2 linked regions of the Oreochromis niloticus genome follow. The protein of the gene in region 2 purifies or fractionates together with the protein of the main gene of each other region. This does not show direct contact. Links are inferred from orthologs where the notes say so. Each region holds a gene or a part of one and is shown on either strand. Other genes may lie near its edges.

Evidence for each region. Proteins that work in one complex are often made in the same cells at the same time.
Region 1: the proteins of rpl13a (region 2) and rpl7l1 purify together in Homo sapiens (affinity purification with mass spectrometry; 3 studies listed by BioGRID and IntAct, with this or other methods). This does not show direct contact. The link is inferred for Oreochromis niloticus from reciprocal best matches to the Homo sapiens genes RPL13A and RPL7L1.

The regions. Positions count from the first base shown.
Region 1 is NC_031980.2:27,061,262-27,071,803, forward strand, and holds the start of rpl7l1 (60S ribosomal protein L7-like 1), read right to left. Parts: upstream 3,744-10,542; 5' UTR 3,415-3,743; coding exon 3,320-3,414; intron 2,599-3,319; coding exon 2,490-2,598; intron 2,372-2,489; coding exon 2,211-2,371; intron 2,134-2,210; coding exon 1,996-2,133; intron 1,906-1,995; coding exon 1,796-1,905; intron 1-1,795.
Region 2 is NC_031983.2:13,762,071-13,772,276, reverse strand, and holds rpl13a (large ribosomal subunit protein uL13), read right to left. Parts: upstream 4,418-10,206; 5' UTR 4,315-4,417; coding exon 4,294-4,314; intron 3,572-4,293; coding exon 3,499-3,571; intron 2,653-3,498; exon of another isoform or gene 2,570-2,652; intron 2,491-2,569; coding exon 2,425-2,490; intron 2,383-2,424; exon of another isoform or gene 2,307-2,382; intron 2,229-2,306; coding exon 2,127-2,228; intron 1,915-2,126; coding exon 1,829-1,914; intron 1,637-1,828; coding exon 1,577-1,636; intron 1,385-1,576; coding exon 1,175-1,384; 3' UTR 1,127-1,174; downstream 1-1,126. Other genes in the region: atp5if1b (ATPase inhibitor B, mitochondrial), read right to left, coding at 5,937-6,078, 6,177-6,289, 6,945-7,088; zmpste24 (CAAX prenyl protease 1 homolog), read right to left, coding at 9,483-9,707, 9,794-9,937, 10,050-10,154. UniProt on the Homo sapiens protein: Associated with ribosomes but is not required for canonical ribosome function and has extra-ribosomal functions.

The sequences.
Region 1 (10,542 bases), on a different chromosome or scaffold from region 2:
CAGAGAAAGCTCATTAAAGCTGATTCCTGCAGAATCTGAACTCATATTTAGCAAACGTGAACAAAAAACAAACAAACAAAAAAAAACAGCTTGTATATTTATAATCACATATCACAGACTGTACCTAAAAGAGAGACGTAGCCGCTAGCTATAATATTTCATCCATAACATCTATATTTTGCAAAGTCTGATGACCATTAGAGTCAAAAGCAAAAAAAGGTTGTGTGTTTTATTGTTAGCACAATAAAAACAACATCTGCAAATAAAAACAATGAGCTGTGAGCAAAATGGGCCTGGCTTCAGGAAAGGGGAACTAATGAAAAATAAGCAACTTTCTACTGAGATGGGCAGGAACGAAACGAGTGAACAATTATCGTGATAAAAGGTTGTGGCTACACACTTTTTTAATTGCAAATCCAATTACATACAGCTGTTTGAAGGTATCATTAAAAAAACAAAACAAACAAACATTGTATTTCTCACATCCTTGCACGACAGTACTACAGACAGCCACTGTCGCTGGGTGAAATCAGTTACAAACATGGTGCTGCACCAAGAACCTTGTACTAATTGCTCCGGTTGCTAGGAGATTGCCATGGTTGCCAGTAATATCTCATGTTTGTTGGCAAATACTTCCCAATTCCAAGCAGGGCGGTAGTAAAATTTGAAAAAGTGGAATGCAAACCAGAAATAGAGATGGTTCACCTCAAAGTAACAGCTGTGTCTCAGTGTTACAGTAAACATGTTTCTAAGATGCAACTATTACTTTGAAGGTGAACCTTCTCCATTTCCAGAGCTGTTTCACTACAGCTCGGAGAGCAGCTAGACGCTGTTTGTAGACAAGTCCATCACTTCTATTCAAACTGCAATCAGAGCAATATGCTAGCAACCAAAGCAATCACAAGATCACAAGGAGATTTTTCCCAACTGGACCAAAAGTACATATTTTTATATAGAGACAGAGGTGGTTTCCAGGGAGTCACTGACCATCTGTAGGCATGTGTGACTGGGGCTTTAGCCATCATCCCCCCGGCAACTGCCATCAACCTCCAGCAACTACTCAAAACTGGTTGGGATATACTCATCTGGTGGTTACCAGATGGTCATGGACCTTTCTAATTATCACATGTGCTAGCAAGAAAGCTAACATTACATTGTTACTGATCATGAGTCTGCAAAACCTTGATACACACAACTATGTTTGTCTGCCCTTTAGAGGACATCATAGCCATTAGTACCTAATAGGATCAACTCGGCACGGTTTGCCACCTGCTCGCCCGGGGTTCCAAGCCATCTGAGCAGGTACTAAAATTTGATGTTGTCAGACTGCAAGGCACCCACTGGCTGGTCAGTGGCGTCACTCGATGAGTCCTGAGAGTGATTTTAATTCACGAAAATTAAAACTGCAATTTTTGAAACCCGGCATTGAGGGAAATGGCTACTAAAAACAATGCTTGTGTTCCCCTGAGTCTGACGAAAGGCCACAGATGGAGCAGCAGGTATATTCTTGACTCCAACTCCACCTTTTTTGTAGCTTTCGTGTCGCAGATTTATTACATCAACTTTAACAGTACTAGTCGGCATTCAAAAAAGGGAAAAAATAATTTAAGAAGTAAAAATAGAACCATGCATTTTATTTTACATAACACTTCAAAGAACGATGGAGTATGACAGAGGGAGAAAGAGAGGAAGAGAAAGAGGAAGGGATGAAAAGAGAGAGAAGGTGCACAGCTGAAATGAAGTGCACTGTGACTGCAGGTGAGTGGGGAGGGAGGCTGTAGTGTGAGTGACTCACCCATGTGCTCCTCGATGAAGGTGTTGTCTGTGAGGGGAACTCTCCTCCTGCCTATCCTGGTCTGACCTCTCTTCAGAATGAGCTCACGAACCGACTTCAGGTTGGGAAATCTGTCCAACACACAGCCCAGTATGTAGAGGATTGAACACAAATTCAAGCCAGCATTACCCTCCAAAGTACACGGTGTCTCACGCACTCACCCCCATGCCACATAAGGCTCCACCATCTTCATCATCGCGATGGAGGTCTTGTTAATTTTGACAAAGGTCCCGCTGAAGATCTTCCTCAGCCTCATCATCTGGATCACTTTCATCACTTTAGGACTGACGCCTTTAGTCCTAACAGGAGAGAACCAGTTGGGTTAAACAAACTGTCGGCCGGTTCTGGAAGCCTGTGTCTGCTTTCCAGTACTCACTGTCTAATGCGGACAGCGAAGGCAAGCTTGTTCTTGGCTGGTGGTAGAGGTTCAGCCGGTCTCTGTTTGACCCTTTGGATGCGGGTGTCATCCCGATGCTGCGTGTGGCTTTCCTTTAAGAAATCTTCCAAACGCTTGAACTTGATTTTCCCTTTAGTCACCTGCAGCATTACAGGAATACACACATGAATGCACAACAGTACATAAATTCCATACAGCCTTTAACTACAAAGTTAGTATATATTGTATTGTATATATGTAACAAGCATCAGTACTTACCCTTCTCTTCTCGAGCAGTGCGAGTTTCGCTTGCGTGGCTTTGATTGCCTGGTATGCCTTCCTCTTTTTCAGAAGATACTCTGGAACCAACTTGATTGCCTTTTTTGTCCTGAAGAGAACAAAAAGTAAGAGAAAGAAGCTTTGGACAAACTAAATCACCAGTGTGTGAATGTGTGCGTGAATGGGTGGATGACTGGATGTGTAAAGCGCTTTGGGGTCTTTAGGGACTAGTAAAGCGCTATACAAATACAGGCCATTTACCATTTACCATTTAAATAAATGCGGCTCAGTCACAAGATTGTGCTGTGGAGGAGAACTGGAGGCGTTGACTAGCTTCAGTTGCAACCCTAAAACTAAGGTTTTTCAGTGTTACCACAGTGGGTTACTTCTTACTGGGGTATCACAGGTATGATAGGTGTGTTAAGACTGCTTCTCCAAAAAAAAAAAAAAAAAAAAAAATTGTTTATGAGGACCTAGTTAGCCTGAGGTCCCAGGGATTTTCTTGCGTCCTTGTAATAGGACGGCCGGGAGAACAGGATTGTCTGACACAAATTCAAACAGCATGACCCAGAAATTTTAGGGGTCACGCCAAGTCGGGAGGCCGTGGGTATACTTATTCAGTTCGGAGCTACCTTCGGTTCACCGACGGTATACACTCCATGTGAAAGTAAGCTCCTCCAGATACGCCTTTTTCACCCATCATCTTTCTAAATAGACACCTTAATCGAATCTTTAAGACTCGTACTTAGCGGGAAAAGCATAAACAGCACAGCTACACATAGGAAACCGAACGGATGAACTTAGATACAATTATAAAATCAAACACATACTCTGATTCGGCCATCGTAGATTCTTCGTCGCGGACAAATGACGTCAGCAGACAGTACCTCGACCTGCCCCAGCGTTTCGGGTCGAGCCTTTCCATTCAGCGGTCCATGTTTGGGGGTGATGCCATCATGTGTAGATCTGACATTTTTAAGGTGATGCCACAAGATGCCGCGGTACATTGGGGGTGATGACGATGCCACGGCCGTCTGCACAGACATGCCTCAAAATACTAAGCTAAAGCGTCCATTCCATCATGCTAGTATCGATGCTATCGACGTTCGGATCGATCCGCCCATCTCTTACTCTTTTTCCAGGTTTAATTTTTGTAACCTGGCGTGTTGTGCCGCTGCAGATTGGTTGCAAGAACGAATGCAACCGCCTCCAAATGGGACAATCCCCACTAGGGTTTAAATTCCCGGGACTCTCCACCTTTTGTTTTTAGAACCTTTTAAGCCTGTTTCCTTCGTCAAGCTCTGTCTCAATGCTGCCATCACCTGGATGGCTGAGAACCCACACAGACATTTGTCTCACTTTGCATCTATGCAAATCTGACAGTAAAAGATTTGTTTTAACACCAAGCATGACCTAGGGTTACACAAATATTTTTATCAGGACCACTTAAGGTTTGCCTTCCTTGCATGAAAGTCTAAAATAAACTTATTTTGGATTTTCATATATTAATCGTTTGAGTTATTTAGTGAATGTGAATAAAGCATACACTGTTATTCAGCCATGCCTCCCTGTTCCCACACACCATGGCCATTTTGGTTTCAGTGTTTTATACACTGCTCAAAAAAGGATATCTATACTGATATGGACCGGGTAATGTGTTAGGAACAAAAGGATATCATGTGGAAATGAGAATGATTAACCTACATAGGTTGAATTCAAAGACGCCCTAAAAAGATGGTATTCTCCTTATATCGCCTTTAAAGAGACATACAGTACATCTTTCCAAATGCCTTGGAAATAATCAGTTTTCAGAAAATATTTTAAACTGTTCAGAAAAACTGCTTCAGACCTAGGACAAGACAGAGCTGTGGTGTAGGCATCCAAAACACGTGCTTTAAGATGCATTTTAGCACTACATGTCACATTTTCGGGCTCTAAACCCTATAAAGCTGCTATACTGTGGAAAGGTTGCACAAACACTCTAAGAAGGATGAACACTTCAAGTCATAAAATTAAATGAAAAGATGACACAAATTATTTTCCTAATTCTTTCACTGTAGCAAAGTCCATGAAATCACTTTTTTAAAAATATGGCATAAGTACAAAAGGCAGTCAGGATCTGTTCCCTGGCCTGAAGGCACAGGGAAACGACCCTATTGTGAAATGGCGAAAACTCCAAAATATAGGCATCAGGCCAAGGGGATACAAGGATACCCACCCCAGCCCACCACCTCTCAGCAAGGCCAACTTCAGACTGGAACAGAGTCCAGCCCCTCTCCGGGGGACTGGTTCCAGAGCCCAAGTCATGCGCTGAGTTGAGCTCGACTATAGTCAGTATAGCTCAACCTCACATACTAGCTCAGGCTCCTTCCCATTCAGAGAGGCGACGTTCCATATCCCAAGTACCATTCTGGGTAGCTGGGGATCTGTCTGGCAGAGCCACTGCCCTTGGTTGCTACCTGGCACAGATTGCAACAGACTCCTACTATGCCTCCTGGGGGTGATGGGTCTACAGTAGTAAAATATTTATTTATTCTGTATCAGGAGGTCTGCAGGATCTTAGCCCGGTCATTGTCAACCACCCTGTGGGGTATATCCCATTTTGTCCATGGGACTTTAGCCCATACTTAACATAGATGTTCCTGTATTTTATACACTTTGCCAGCCACTTGTATATGGTCTTCCATGTATGCCGTTCATGTTAGCATCTTGTACCCTGCTGTTATGTGCTGGACAGTCCCTGTACAGATAGAGTAACTATGGTAGCAGAGAGACTTACTGTGTCTCAAAGTGCCATCAAGAAGATGATAGAGGTTACTTTATTCTGTTCTGTATTAACTGTGGATCAATTAGTTCACCAAACCTTTTTATATAGGTTTTATTTATTTCAAAAGTGTAGTTTTTTAAGTTTGAATGAACTAAAATGAAAATAAAAACTAAATGTTTTTATTTAGTTTAATTCAACTATAATAACCTTGGCTCACACATTAAGACATACTTTTTTGTGTTCAAAACTCATGTGACTGTGTCAGCACTGTGATTTCCTTCAGTTTAATTTCTCCCTGATAATTGACTGAAATAACTGAACTGAACTACTTTTTGAATATGTGCAGTTTCAGGTCTGAGCGTATTGCTCCATCTAGTGAGCCATCTTAAGCATTGCTTAAAGTGACCTGAATACTGCTTAGTTTTTTTTTTTATAAAGTACAGCAACAACAGAGATATTCTGCACACATCAGTATCAGCTTTATTGGGTAAGTATGAGTATACATAAAAGGAACTGGGCTATATTTTTATATACATTCTAAACACATTTTTAATGACCATTTAATTTATTTAACAGCCACATCTTCTATCTGCCGGTAAAAGCTGTGCAGTGACCTGTCCTTCCACGATGATTCTTGTTCCTCTTCTTTCTCAGGGTTCTGCTGCTTATATATAAAAAGTCCCCTCTCGCCCCTGCAGGCAGTCTATCCTTCAAGCTGAGGGTTCTGTGCAGTATCTTTGCTGTTCCTAGGACCGTCCTCTTCTGGATATGCAGCATGCCTTAGTTTAGTAGCAGGTATACTGGATATGTTAGTAGAATGATCTAAATGTTCATCACAGTGAAGGCCTATGGAAGGAAACTGCACAGATGTCTGCTTGTTTTGATTCTCTGTAGTACCAGAATGAGTCAGTAACATTATTAATATTCTCTGGGGACTAGTTTGACTAGGTGGTAAAAAGAAGTAAAATGTAATTATTTATTTTGTAATTTATTTGCAATTGTGAATAATAATTTCAGTTCAGTAATCCTGCTTGGCGTTCTGCCTTCCTTTCTTTATTCTCCTCTGTCCAAGTCCAACAACACCTTCTCTCTGGCACTACTCAGAAAGTTGAATGCAGCTATAACCCGATCACGGAGGTCGTTCCTCTTTATTTATTTATTTATTTTCTTCAACAAAAGACACTTACTTACTTTGAAAAAATTCTACATTAAATTTACAAAGTTCTGCCCACTCTACAATGCTTTTGATTCAGATCAGCATCAGAATTTGCTTTGCTACATACACTGAATTAAATTATAAATATGAAATATAGAAAAATAAAAATAAGGTACTCCATTGAAGACACAACATGTTTTGAATATGTACTCCAAAGTTATGCTGTATACAATATAAACAAAATATGTGAAAGTGAAAATAGTGAAAATAGTCCAAGTGTCACAGGGAGAGTTTGAGGCTGAATGTGTTCCGACTATCCAGCGTGTCATGGAGAGGGTATGAAGGATTGTGTTATGGTGCGGGTGAGTGGCTGTTTTTCTATTAGCTCTGGGTTTCCACCTCTAGGTGGAGCCTCATCAGCCTTTAAGACCAGCGCTCTTAACAAATCTTTGCCAGAATGTCTGGTAACCTCTGATAGTGCTTGCCCAATTATGTTTCATGAGAATTCATTGTACTTCTTCTTCACTAACTTTGTTATCTCTTATGTCTCTACTATTCTCTGGATCATCTACTCACCTTCGCAGTATAGTCACGTTTTTCTGGATGCTGGTCATGTCTATTCACACCATCACACCATAGTTCACAGTTCATGCTCGATATTTCAAGTGTCACGTTTTCACAGCCTGTAAATAAAGTTTCACTATTGAGAAAGACTGTGCCTCTGGCTGAATCTGCATTTTGGGTCCACTCTCTCGCTCTGGCCATCCTGTTTTAACAGATTGCCCATAACTCGGACAGCTTCCACCTGTCTTACACTGCCATCACAGATGCCTTGAGATAACTTGAGATGCCTGTGCACCACTCTACAGACCAATTCTTAGGAGGAGTCATAGGGAGGTGATGAAAAGTTTGATGGTCACAGGTAAGAGTGGTTCTCTGAGCCAGTCAGAGGTGGGTAGAGTAGCCAAAAATTGTACTCAAGTAATAGTAGCACTACTTAAACATAGTTTTACTCAAGCAAAAGTAAAAAGTAGCCGTCTAAGAAATTACTCTAGTAAGAGTAAAAAAAGTATTTAGTAAAACGGCTACTTGAGTACTGAGTAACAGAGCATAACATCTGATTTAATGTTTAAAAATGAGATAATCAGACAAAGATATAAAGTCTAACTTCTGGTATTTGAAAGAATGAAAAATATACCCCCCCCCAAAAAAACAACCAACAACAAAAAAAAAAACTACATAGAATGATTACAAAATAATAAATCTAAGCAGAAGAAAGTTTTTCCAAATCAATATATACATATATAGGCAAGTGGCTCCAGCAGAGTGCAGTACTTAAATTTTTTTTTACTGCAAACCTTAGTCACCCAGTCTCACATGCATACTACTTTTTTCTATACCTTAACACCATGTCTTACATTCACACACACAGGAGCAACTCGGGGGTTTAGTGCCTTACCCAGAGATACTTCTATATGCAGACTGGAGGAGCAGGGAAGTGAATCACAGACCTTCTGATTGGTAGATGACCCACTCTGTTGCCTGAGCCATGGCTCTGTAAACTGGAATTGGGATTTTGGCATTATTTGACACATATTATTTAATGGAAAAATAATAGCAATATTAGCAACAACTACTTTTTCCACGAGGTGTTGTGTAAGTCAGTATCCATGCTGGAGTTGTACTGTGTTCACTAGGGCTGGGCCATATCATACTGTTCAAATTCAAATTCAAATTCAAATTTTATTTGTCACATACACAGTCATACACAATACGATATGCAGTGAAATGCTTACACAACTGCTCGTGACCTTAAGAAAAAAAGAAAAGAAAAGGCTATGAATAAGATAGGAAATAAATATGAAAATTAAAAAGGGTAAATTTAACTAGGAAGGAATAAAATAAAATATATATGAATTAGTTGAAAATAAAATAACTGTACAACACAAATTAGAATGAAGAGTAAATTTAACTGGGAAGAATAAGATAAAATATATATGAATTAAAGTTGAAAATAAAGTAACTGTACAACAAAATACACAATACACAATATACAAATATATAAGAATGTATGAAGAAATATAAATATATATACAATAACAGCAGCTGTACAAGTATTAAATGGAAATGAAGAAATATAATGTCCAGTGTTGTGCAAACCACATTGTAGGTGTCTTGTGCAGTGCAAATATGCTTAAAGTGATTAAGTGTAAACAAAGTCCAGACTGTCCAGTGTGTGTGTAAGAACCATATGTGTGGGTCCGTTCTATGTGGTGGTGTGATTGAGAGACCGTATCGCCTGCGGGAAGAAGCTCCTCCTCAGTCTCTCTGTGTTGGTCTTCAGGGAGCGGAATCGCTTTCCTGACCTCAACAGAGAGAACAGTCCGTTGTTGGGATGGCTGAGGTCCTTCATGATCTTCCTGGCCTTGGTACAGCACCGCCTGCTGTAGATTGAGTGCAGGTCAGGGAGCTCGGAGCGGATGGTGCGCTTAGCTGATCGCACAACCCTCTGTAGAGCTCGTCTGTCCTGCATGGTGCTGTTCCCGAACCAGGTTAAGATGTTTCCCGTCAGGATGCTCTCTATGGTGCACGAGTAAAAGTTCCTGAGCACCCTGGAGGGCAGTCGGAAGTCTCTCAAGCGTCTGAGGTGGTAGAGACGCTGTCGGGCCTTTTTCACTACAGTGTTGATGTGACAGGACCATGACAGGTCCTGCGTGATGTGAACTCCGAGGTGTTTGAAGCTGTCCACTCTCTCCACTGGGCACTCGTTGATGACGGGGGTCTGGTAGTTCCTCTTCTGCTTAGTACTGAAGTCCACTATCAACTCCTTTGTTTTTCTGATGTTTAGAAGGAGGTTGTTCCTCTGGCACCAGGTCTCCAGATTCCTAACCTCCTTCAAGTAGGCCGTCTCGTTGTTGTCAGAGATCAGGCCCACCACGACGGTGTCATCAGCAAACTTGATGATGGTGGTGGAGCTGGTAGTGGCCACACAGTCATATGTGTACAAAGAGTACAGCAGGGGGCTCAGAACACACCCCTGGGGGGCTCCAGTGCTGAGAGTGGTGGAGGCTGAGACATGTCCGCCCATCCTTACTGCCTGTGGTCTGCTAGTTAGGAAGTTGGAGATCCACTGACACATAGATGAGCTGAGTCCCAGGTGCTCCAGTTTGGTGGTGAGTGTGGAGGGAATTATGGTATTAAATGCAGAGCTGTAGTCGATGAAGAGCATTTTAACATAATTCCCCCTTCTAGTGTCCAAGTGAGTGAGTGATGTGTGGAGGAGATGAGAGATGACATCATCTGTGGAACGATTTGGACGGTAAGCGAACTGTAGTGGGTCCAGTGTGTCTGGTAGTGAAGAAATGATGAAGTCTCTGACCAGGCGTTCAAAGCACTTCATCACTACTGAGGTGAGGGCTACAGGGCGATAGTCATTGAGAGAAGCAGGGTGGGGTTTCTTCGGGACAGGAACAATGATGGACTCCTTGAAGCATGTGGGGATCACCGACTGAGATAAAGAGATGTTGAATATCTCAGTGAGCACAGGTGCTAGCTGGTATGCGCAGTCTCTGAGGATACGACCTGGGATGCCGTCTGGTCCTGCTGCTTTCCTGGTGTTCACTCTCTTGAAGGCTCTCCTCATGTCATGCTCAGAGATGACGAGCACGTTTCCGGTGTTGGCAGTATCTTCCTGTCTGCAGCCGTTAGCGCCGCTAGCACTAGCATCGTTGGAGTCCTTAGCTGCAGCCTCGAAGCGAGCATAGAAAGTGTTCACGGTAATACCGGTATAATGTTGGGCAACGATAAGAAAATGAAATATCGCGATAGAATATGGGTAAAACGCACATGCGCAGTGCCTTTATTTTCATAAGCACGTGGTGGAAAAAGCATGGAGGCGACGGAGAATGAGAAGGAGGAAAGCGGATCGTTGAATGAAACGGATGAACCAGAATTGGTTTGTAAAACTGCTGCAACTTCACTGATGTGGAAATGGTTTAGCTTTCATCCGTCAGATACACAACAAAGCGCTATTTTTGGTAGAGCATGGTAGTGGGCAGTCGTTTCCTCGTTTTTTGGAAAATACGACACACTTAAAATCAATCCTTTGATTTTTCTGAAAATCGACAGTG
Region 2 (10,206 bases):
ATGAATACTTGACCCCCACAATTCTAATTTGGGTGGGGATTTTAACTAAAACGCTAAATGTTTTAGTTAACTGTAACTGTGACGCTTGGAAGTGTGGCAGTACAACACTGCCCTCTGCTGGTAGTTAAGCTTGGTTGCAATAAGACGTTCCCACATGTATAAATTTTAGGCTATGTCCACACGTACCCGGGTATTTTTGAAAACGCAGATTTTTCTATGCGTTTGCACCTTTCGTCCACACGTAAACGGCGTTTTCGGTCACTGAAAACGGAGATTTCTAAAAACTCCGGCCAGGGTGGATATTTTCTAAAACTCCGTTTTTGCATTTACGTGTGGACGAGAAAAACGGAGAAAACGCAGTGTCAAAGGTGTGCGCCTTTTTTGACGTCACAGTGTGCGCCACGTTGTTGTTTCGGTGAAATGAATTTCTACAATACTGTTACTGTTAATTGTACTCTCTGCAGTGTTTAAATGCTTACATATACACACACAGTTACTGTCCCTTCATATACACGACTCGGTTCTGCTTCTATGCCCCATCTTTGTTTACTTTTTCCCACCGAGGCTTCTAGACTTCTGATTGGCCAACATTTCTACACGGTTAGGAATATAGCGCCACCTGCTGCTTTGGCATGTTCCTAGCAGCGTTTTCCTTCATTTCTGCCTTTACGTGTGGACGGGATTATTTTTTAAAACGAAAACGGAAAATCTCCGTTTTCAAAAATACCCGGGTACGTGTGGACATAGCCTTATTTTTGTCAGTTTTATCAAACTCTACAGCTGCAGCAAATTGTTATACAATTCAAAAACTGATGAGTCAGATGGCATTTTGTGAAAATAAAATAAGAGTGTAATACTAACTCCAAATATCCAGTTATGTTTTCTAACCCTGTCATACATTTTGATTTTACACATTACGCGAAACCATGTAAGGAAAATACGCAACTCCAATGTGCTTTTCCTGGCACCTTTTGAAAGTCTGAGTGATACTTTTCAAATACCAAGTCAATATAACCATGAATACACAAATGCTACCTTCTTGTGATAGCTACAAATGCAACTCTTAAACATATATTCATGTTGTAGTAAATGCAGTTTATTTTAATGAGAAATAAAATAGTCATGACACATTTTATAAACATTTATTCATCTTTATTGGCCAGATGAGTTTAGCTCAGACAATAACTCCATATTGTTTCAGAACATCTGTGTATTTTGCAATCTTGGACTCGACGTTCTTTTCTGCCTTCTTGGTCAGATTGATCAGTGTCTTTTTCTTGGTGTAGCGGAGCTTAGACTTCTCCTTTCTCTTCTCCTCCAGAGTGGCTGTGATAGCCTGGTACTTCCAGCCAACCTCATGTGCCAGACGCCCAAGGAGGGCGAACTGAGGGAGAAATGAAAAACCATATAAAATCAACAGTTCACAAACTGAAGAGAACAATGTTACACAAACTAAATGGTTGTGCCTGCCCAATTCAAAATTTACAGCTGAATAATAGTAAATGACCTTATTGTCACCCTTCATTTTCTGTCCTTAACAAAAAAAAAAAAAAAAAAACAAACATTGTAGGCTCACCTTGCGAGAGGGCTTCAGACGCACAACTTTAAGAGCAGCTGGGACAACCATGCGCTTCCTCTGCAAATCAAATAAAGCAAAATCAGATAACGAAGACAACAGCACATCTGAACTGTTATAGGCAGCATGTCTCAGACATCATTTCTTTTCATGGTTACTATTCAGACAAGGCAGTTAAGATGCATGGCATCACAGACAGCACAGTCAAAGCCACTTGTGGGGGCCATAAAGATTAAGAAATTATCAGCATACCTTGTCATAGGGTGGGGGGATACCATCAAACACCTTCAGCCTCTCCAGAGCAGCCTGACCTCTCTTGGTTTTGTGAGGCAGCATACCTGTTTAAAGAGAGATTATCCTTTTAAAAAAAAACATAAAACTCAGTAGCCATTTCAACATATGCTAAACTGAAAAAAAAAAAGTCAGATGTCTGAAGTCTGCTTCATCAATAGATTATTAGCTTTGCTATAAACAGCTTTACTGTGCTAAGTAAGTATCATAGATGAATGCAAATAGACCACTTCATGTGCTGGTGGTGTCACTTTCTCACCTCTAACGGTCCTCCAGAAGATCTTGCTGGGAGCCCTGAAGTGGTACGGACCACGAGAGGGGTTGGTGTTCATCCTCTTGCGCAGGAAAGCCAGGTACTTCACTGCAGACAGGCACATGCCACATTACACATACATCAAGATACATGCAAGGGGCTAGCATTACTTTATTAAGTAATGCTGATGCCTCAGATGGTAGTGCATGTAAGGTTTTCTCATGGTCTGTGAAACTCAAACTAGTAAAACATCACCGACAACAAGCATTTTAAAGGAATGAAAATAGGACATAACCCTACTTACGCTTGTTACGGTAGAAGTTGCCAGAGATGTTGATGCCTTCACATCTCACCACCACCACTTTGTGGCCTAAAAGACAAAATGCCAACAGTTAAATCCCAAAAGTTAAAGAGAACAGCAAACAGGTGCAGATACTGTTTGTTTGTTTCCTGTCTCAGATGGTAGTGCATGTGAGTTTTCTCATTGTCGTTAAACTCAACCAAGGCAGTTAATACAGTCATCATCGACAGAATGACACAACATTTGCCAACTTTGAACACACTGTTCATCAGTCTTACATGCTGCAAAACACACTGTGCGACATGGATCTGACAAGTCTGGAAGTTAACGGTAGAGTTTCATCGTAGGATAGGTCGGTCTTTGTAGCCATCTGTGTCTCTGCATGTTTTGTGTGACTGCATCTGGAGAATTTGCATTACAATTTACACCCTACGCATGTGTAGAAAGAGCATGCAATGCTCTCTGCAGGCCTTTTGCACAAACAGTCATTTTTCACAAACTGCAAGCGGTTTTTTGTTTTTTTAGACATTACCCAGCTGAACTAAACATGAGGACACAAATATAAAATTTGTTGGACTGGAAATCAAATACTCATCCTTCTAGTGCTCAAATAACCGTATAATCCCCAACTGATGCCATGTAACAAGAGAGCCAGTAACTAGAGAATTCCCAGAGCAAGTGGACATCATGTCATGAGTATTTCCAGAAACAATACTACTGACACTGTCCACAGTTCAGGTGTATAAAAGGGACTAGACTATGTGTTGCAATCCAAATCACCTTATTTTGCACATTTTACCTCCAATGGGACCCCACAATGGCTCAGCTATTTCAGGTTAGTTTGCACTGCATTCCTACTGAATGGTTAGCAGGTACAGCAGCAGTCCCATTATGAGATACTGCTACAAAATTTCTGACACTGTCAGGATGTTGCTCCAAGGAGTCCATGCATGTAGCGTGATACAACAGCTAAATTCGAACATCTTGACTAGGACAGTCCAAAAATCGCACAGTGTGTACCAAACTCAAGTTATATTGTTTATTACCAAAAACTCTCATTATTCTCTTAAAACTTACCCAGAAGAACCTGTTTAGCCACAATGGCAGCAAGTCGGCCGAGCAGATGGCCCCTGCCATCAAGCAGCAGAACCTAAAATAAAGGGGGGAAAAAAGGATATCAATGCTTTATCTTCACCATGAAAAAACATCCCAGTAATTCACTATAATCTTGTATGGTAATGTTAATCAACTTGCTTTTAACATCTAACCTGACAATCGTCACATTGTCAGCTTTACCTTGCCTTGCACTAACATAAAAGTTAAACGGTAATAAACACACATTTAACCCCATCACTGTTTATTGAAGGGGTTTACTGCGAACTTAACTGTATTTCTGCCTCCACGTCACTGTGATAAATGGCACATGGGACACTATTGACTTGCCGGTTGAGCCATAACGTTAGCTTAGCATCTAACCCAAAACGCGCTGACGATTAATCTTGGGTTTTTTTTAGCTGAAGTGTCATGAAAGGTTCCCTACATAGAAGCAACGAAAAATCACCCATTTTATTTATTTAAGTTTGCCGGTACGTTTCCCATACTACCATACATCCAGTACACACGTTAAACCTAGCTTCGCAAGCTAACAGCGTTGACTCAGGGAAGCTGCCATGATGAAGGCACGCTCACTCGGCTATAGCGAGCTGCCTCAGACATTCCCTAAAAATATGTCTCAGAAAAAAAACACTGAGCAAAACAACGACTACACAAAGCTGTCCCAAGTTATCGCTATTCGCTTAACTGCAAAACATAAGGTTTTATTTTGCCTATAGAGCAGAAAAATGATATAATATCTCCAGAGCAGCTTCCCACCTTATTGAACCGGTCCGCCATGATGTGCGAAAAGAAAGACAAACGGGGTTGCTCGTGGTAAAAGGCAGGGGTGGGCGGAAGTGACGACAGCTTCTTTCTCGTGGCTCACAGGCTATGAAAGAAATAGCGCCACCGTTGGACTTATTAAGTTCAGCATTATAAATTATGTATACTATTATGTATTATAGGGTTAGCAGTTTTGCTTTGCTGCTTCAGGACCTGGACAACTTGTTGTAATTCTTCTCTCTACCAAAAAATGCTGAATGAAAATGTTCCCCCATCAGTTTGTGCCCTGAAGCTCAAGCACACTTAGGTTAGGCAACAGGGCAATGATCCAAAATGCACCAGTGTGCACTTCTAAAGGGGGAGGGACAAAAAAAAATAAGAAAAGGTTTTGTAGTGGCCTAGTTAAAGTCAAGCTTGAAAACTCTTCAATGTGGCTGAATTAAAACAATTCTGTAAAAAAGAATGAGACTAAATTCTTCCACTGTGGAAAAACTAATTCCTTGCAACCACTTGTTTTGAGTTCTTGCTGCCAGAGGTGGCACAATCAATTTTTAGGTGAACCTTTTTTCCTTAATAAATGAAATCCTCATTTGAAAAATACTGGTGACCACCAGAGCTTCAATTTCAAAATCCTACGCTGCCTATTCTCAAGTTAAAGCAATCACAAGATTTGCAGAATATTTAACCGAGAATTTCAGTAGATCTACCTATGATATCAATTAGAATATCCTAGGTAATTTCCTTCTTGAGTTATCACATTCACAGGATCTTCGGAAAACATGACCTATGAACTTGACTCTGAGGTGTAGGTCACAGACATTTATGGTATCAATTAAAAGCTCCCACATTATCTAATTCTTGCATTCTCAAACTTAGACATCCACAAACCCCGACCACCCACCCACCCACCTGGTGGGGTGAAAATACCCCATCTGCCTTTTTCAGATGAGGGGTAAAACCTGCATTTACTCCTGTTATCTTTGTCTAATATTAAAATTTGTTTTATGATCTTACAAATATGCAAAAAGCAAACAAACAAATAAGAAATCATAGCAGGTGTTAAATACTTTTTTAGATCTTAATAGTATGAAATTTATATGACCTTACTTTAGATCAAGATGGCTTTAAGGAGCAGTTTGAAACACATATTGAACAGGTCACATATTTGTGCTGCCAGATAACTTTAATTACCTTTTTTACCATTTTTTATTTTACATTAAAGGTGTGCTGGTTGCAGCTTAGTCAATTTTATCACTTGATTTGCTGCCTATTGTTGCTCATTGAAAACAATGTTGCTCACAAGTTCACAAAAGATATCAACTGTTCACTGAAATAAAACAGCAGCATGAAGCACAGATTATATTTAGTATTTTTTACTTTGGCATTCTGCCTGTGACATACGGCACACCAATGAACAGCATCACAGAGGAAAATGTTCTTGCAGAGCATGCCATGGAACCCGTACTCATTTTTTTTAATCAATTTTAATACCTTTCAACAATTTACATAAGTACCATCACTCAAACATTCATGACTGGCATAACACAGTGCACGCAGAAACTAGTGTGGTTACTAAAGGAGTCTTGGACAGTGGGGAGAAAAAAAACAAAACTTTTGTTTTATTTTAAAGGCTTCACTCAGTCGTCATGCTTCAGCTTTCTGATCTTTCCCTTGTGGCGGTCAATTTCGCGCTGGAGACGTTCAATCTCCTTTTTGTGGTGATCAATTTCGTCCTCATGGTGCTGCTTTAGTGCTGCCAGCTGCTCCTTCTCCTTGCGCCTTATATGAAGAAAGACAGATATCACACAGGCTTATTTACATGTAGAAGAGGTGGAAAAAGTGGACAAAAAACTGTCTTTATAAGTTGAATTCCATACTTGAAGTACATCTCCTCCTCTGCAGCCTGCTTCTTCCCCATGGCTCCACCTGCCTCTCTGATAGAGCCTCCACCACCACCACCTTTCCCGGCACCTTTACCCAGCTCACCCAGCTGAGTGGGTGGGGAAGTATTTAAGAGAAAACAAGTTTAGTGAATTAACTCAGCAACAAGCAAAAAACAAACAAACCCCCAAACCCAATAATAAATGCATAAACAAAAAATAGAGCTCTGAGTACTTTCTATAAAGACATTTCTTTAACAGATGGCAGCTCGAAATTTAACATTTTTTAAAGTTACTTTCTTTCTCAACTTTAGTGATCAGGGCTTTCAGTGTGATATTAAGGTGAATCTGCTGGACGCTGTGAAAACAAGACCATGTTGAAGGTCAAGGTTTTATATTTTTTGAGTGGGTTTAAAGGCTTCTTTGTTTCCAAGGTGATAATGGAGATATCTAGAACAGACCAGAAATCCTTTTTGAGCAAAACCTAAACGTCTGAGAGAACAAAGCAGCTCACAAAACCAAATTATTTTTCTGAATAGTCTGACAGGTGGCAGTACATACAAAATGAACCCCCTTGGCATATATAACCTATAATCATTAGGTAATAATGTTCAATTAGAAAGCTAATACCACAGTGCTACAGCAGGTGATCCTGTCATTAAGGTTTTCAGCTAGCAAAAATGATGAGGCTAAACAAGTCAAAGCGCTGTATAACGGTTACACGGTGTTTGTAATGAAGTGAGGCGGTTGCAGGACGTTTATTACCTGGTCGGATGACATTCTCAGCTGTGAGGTGACAAAAGTCCTGATATTAGGCCTCAAAAACCTCGCCATGTTTGTGAAAACACCACTGACAAGTAGTGTCGAGCTTGTCCTTGTCCACAAAAATACACCACAGGACGGCGCCATTATGTCCAAGGCGGGGGTGCCAACAGGAGATACGTTAGTTCAATTAGATGATACATTTAAAAAATCTATTCATACGATGATGGATTATTTAAATTTTTCTGCTAAATATATTTCGTATACATAACATGGAACAATAACGTAATGCAGGAAAAACACAGTATTTGATTCCCGCAGTGGTATGGTCTTAAAAATGGATACCGCGGTGTTATACGTTCTTTACGTAGCATCTGACCTTATAATTTTTGTTATGCTACATACCAATAACGCAACATGATGTGTGATTTTTTAATGTATTTTTTAATTAATTTAAATACTATATACATCCATATCCACTGAACAAAAGTGGTTTAAAGTGTTTTTTAAACAAAAACAAAATCAACAATAACAATGGTTATTTCTACTTTTTTACATAGCTTAAATAACTTATGGATTGCAATTTTTTTTATATATATTTTAGTACACAGTAATTTTTTTAATTTAAATATGAGATTTTATCTAAAAAGATAAGTTTATAAAACATCGATTTATTTTTAAGCTGAGCATCAGGATGGGGAAGAAAGGGTATTTAATTAACTTTGATCATAGCATGGTTTTTGTAAGTACTTCAAAAACCTGCTGATCCACTGGGAGTTTCCCACACAACCATCTCTAGAGTTTACAGAGATTGTAGGAAGGCAAATCAAATATCATGAATGTACATGTCAAACCGTGAACCAGAAGTGCTACAACAGCAGAAAACCACACCAGGTGCCACTCCTGTTAGCTAAAGAAACTGAAGCTACAATTCCCACAGGCTCACATGACCTCCACAGTCTCCAGGTTTCAATCCAATAAAGCACCTTTGGGATGTGGTGGAACAAGAGATTTGCTTCATAGATGTCCAGCAACTGTGTGAAGCCATTATGTAACTATGAAGTCAAACTCTCTGGAATGTTTCCAGCATTTTGTTGAATCTATGCATTACAGATATGGTGTAAAATGCCTCAATTCATATAGAGAATCCATCTATATGAATTAAGGCAGTTCTGAAGGCATAAACTGGTCCAACCAGGTACTAGGAAGGTGTGCCTAATTAAGTGGCCAGTGAACATTTTGTGTGTGTTTATTTAAAATATAACATTAAAAATATATTTAAAAAGTCATTGCAGGATGAAAATAAACTTATCTTTTGTGTGATGTTCACAATATTTTTAAAAAGTAAAACAAGCACCCCAAATAAGATAAATGCTTAGAGGATTTTATTCAACACTGCAAAGAAAGCATACACCCCCTCTCTGAGCAAACCAAACTCTGGCTCACGTGGTGAAATCTTGCCATCTCCCTCCCAGAAGTCCCCTATAAATACTTTGCTTACCAGGTATCGCTGGCATGAAACAAAGAGAAAAACAAAACAAAAACTATGAAACTCTACATCAACTTAAAAATTCAAATCACATTCAACATTTTTTTTTCAACAATTCACTTCATATATCATTACTCTAATCACCAAAGTTACATATGTACAGGTATGGTTGGACCCTTCATGACAAGCAGGTGCTTAAGAAAATTAAAACAGCAGCCCCTCATTGCATGTAAAAAAAACAAAAATATCGCATCTACTGTAATCTTCAAAAGAAACATTTCGCACCGCTCTGTTCACTAGGTGTTCATTATGGGTACAAAGAGGAGAATTAGAGGCACTCGTATTTTGTCACTGTGACAAAGAATCTACAGAGTTTCTCTTTAAATTAAAAAAAAAAAAAAAAAAAAAAGCACTGAATTGATGAATAGATTCATGAATATTCACTTGAACTTGACAATAAATGTTGCACTTGCTGTACATATCAATCTGGCCCGTGCATCTGTAAAAAGCATTGTAACGACTGAATATAATGTATGACTAATCATCTTAAATTAATATTTTAAAAAAAATTAACATTTAACAGCCAAATAACTTGTCAATTTCATTTTGAGCTTCATACTTAGAAGGGAAAAAGAACAAAGTACTGAATGAATTGTACAAAAATAAAAGGATTTCTAAAAACAAATCTATGAGTACAATCTGAGAAATCTGATATGTGCTCTGACAATTGCCTTTTTCTTTACACGTTGTCCAGATCTATCTCACACAGCAAGTGTGTAAATGGTTTTTCTGAATAAAAGAAAAAGAACAGTACAGGCTTAGATTTTTTTATGTTTGCCTTGTGCTGATATGTTTTGGTTTTGTTTAAAACTAACTTTCAAAGAAGAGAAAAAAAAAGAAAGTATGGCAAGTGAAGAAAAGGATAAAATAAGATAAAATTTGCTTATGGGGTCAGAAGGGAAGGAAAAAGACCAGGGTGCATCACAGGGCCAGGAGCGGTCTGCGGAGGCCCTTCGGAGGAGGCAGCGGTCGCCGCTCCCCTTCCGGCCCCGTCAGTCTTGCTTGGTGTTGCCCAGTGCTCTGAGGCGCTCAAGGAGAGGAGGGTGGGAATAGTGCCACATGGAAAACAACCAATCAGCCACAGGGAAGCCCAGGTTGTCTTTGTTCAGCTTGATGAGAGCTGAGTAAAGCTCTGAGGCTTTGCCCATGGCGCGAGCAAAAGCATCTGCCTGGAACTCAAACCTGCGACTCAGGACCGTCAGACAGAAAGACAGAACCTACAAAAGCGAGGAAGAAGAGAAATATTTAAACATCTCAAAACAACAGGATTTAATTATTCAAGCTTTCATGATCTCACACATACCTCGTTGTAAGGAGAAAAGATGAACTGGAAGATAATCATCAAGCCTATTAATGTGGGCTGGCTGTCATCGAAGCCAAAAGCTACAAACAGCTCCTTACGTCCAATCAGGACAGCAAATAAGGAGAAGCACAGGAAGGAATTCATCTGAAGAGATAAAAATAGATTCAGTTCAATTTCTGAATGTCTGTAGTATGATCTAATCAGGCTTTTATATGTTTTGGGATAAAACAAAAGACATCCATCTGGGAGAAATCACCTGACTAATGACGATATTCTTGACGGTGTGGCCAAGTTTCCAGTGGCCAAGCTCATGACCCAAAACAGCAAGGATCTCTGGGTTGTTGCATCCTTGTTTTTTGTTCTGTGACAGAAGTTTCAAAATCAGTTACCTAAAATTTCCAACAACATCAAGC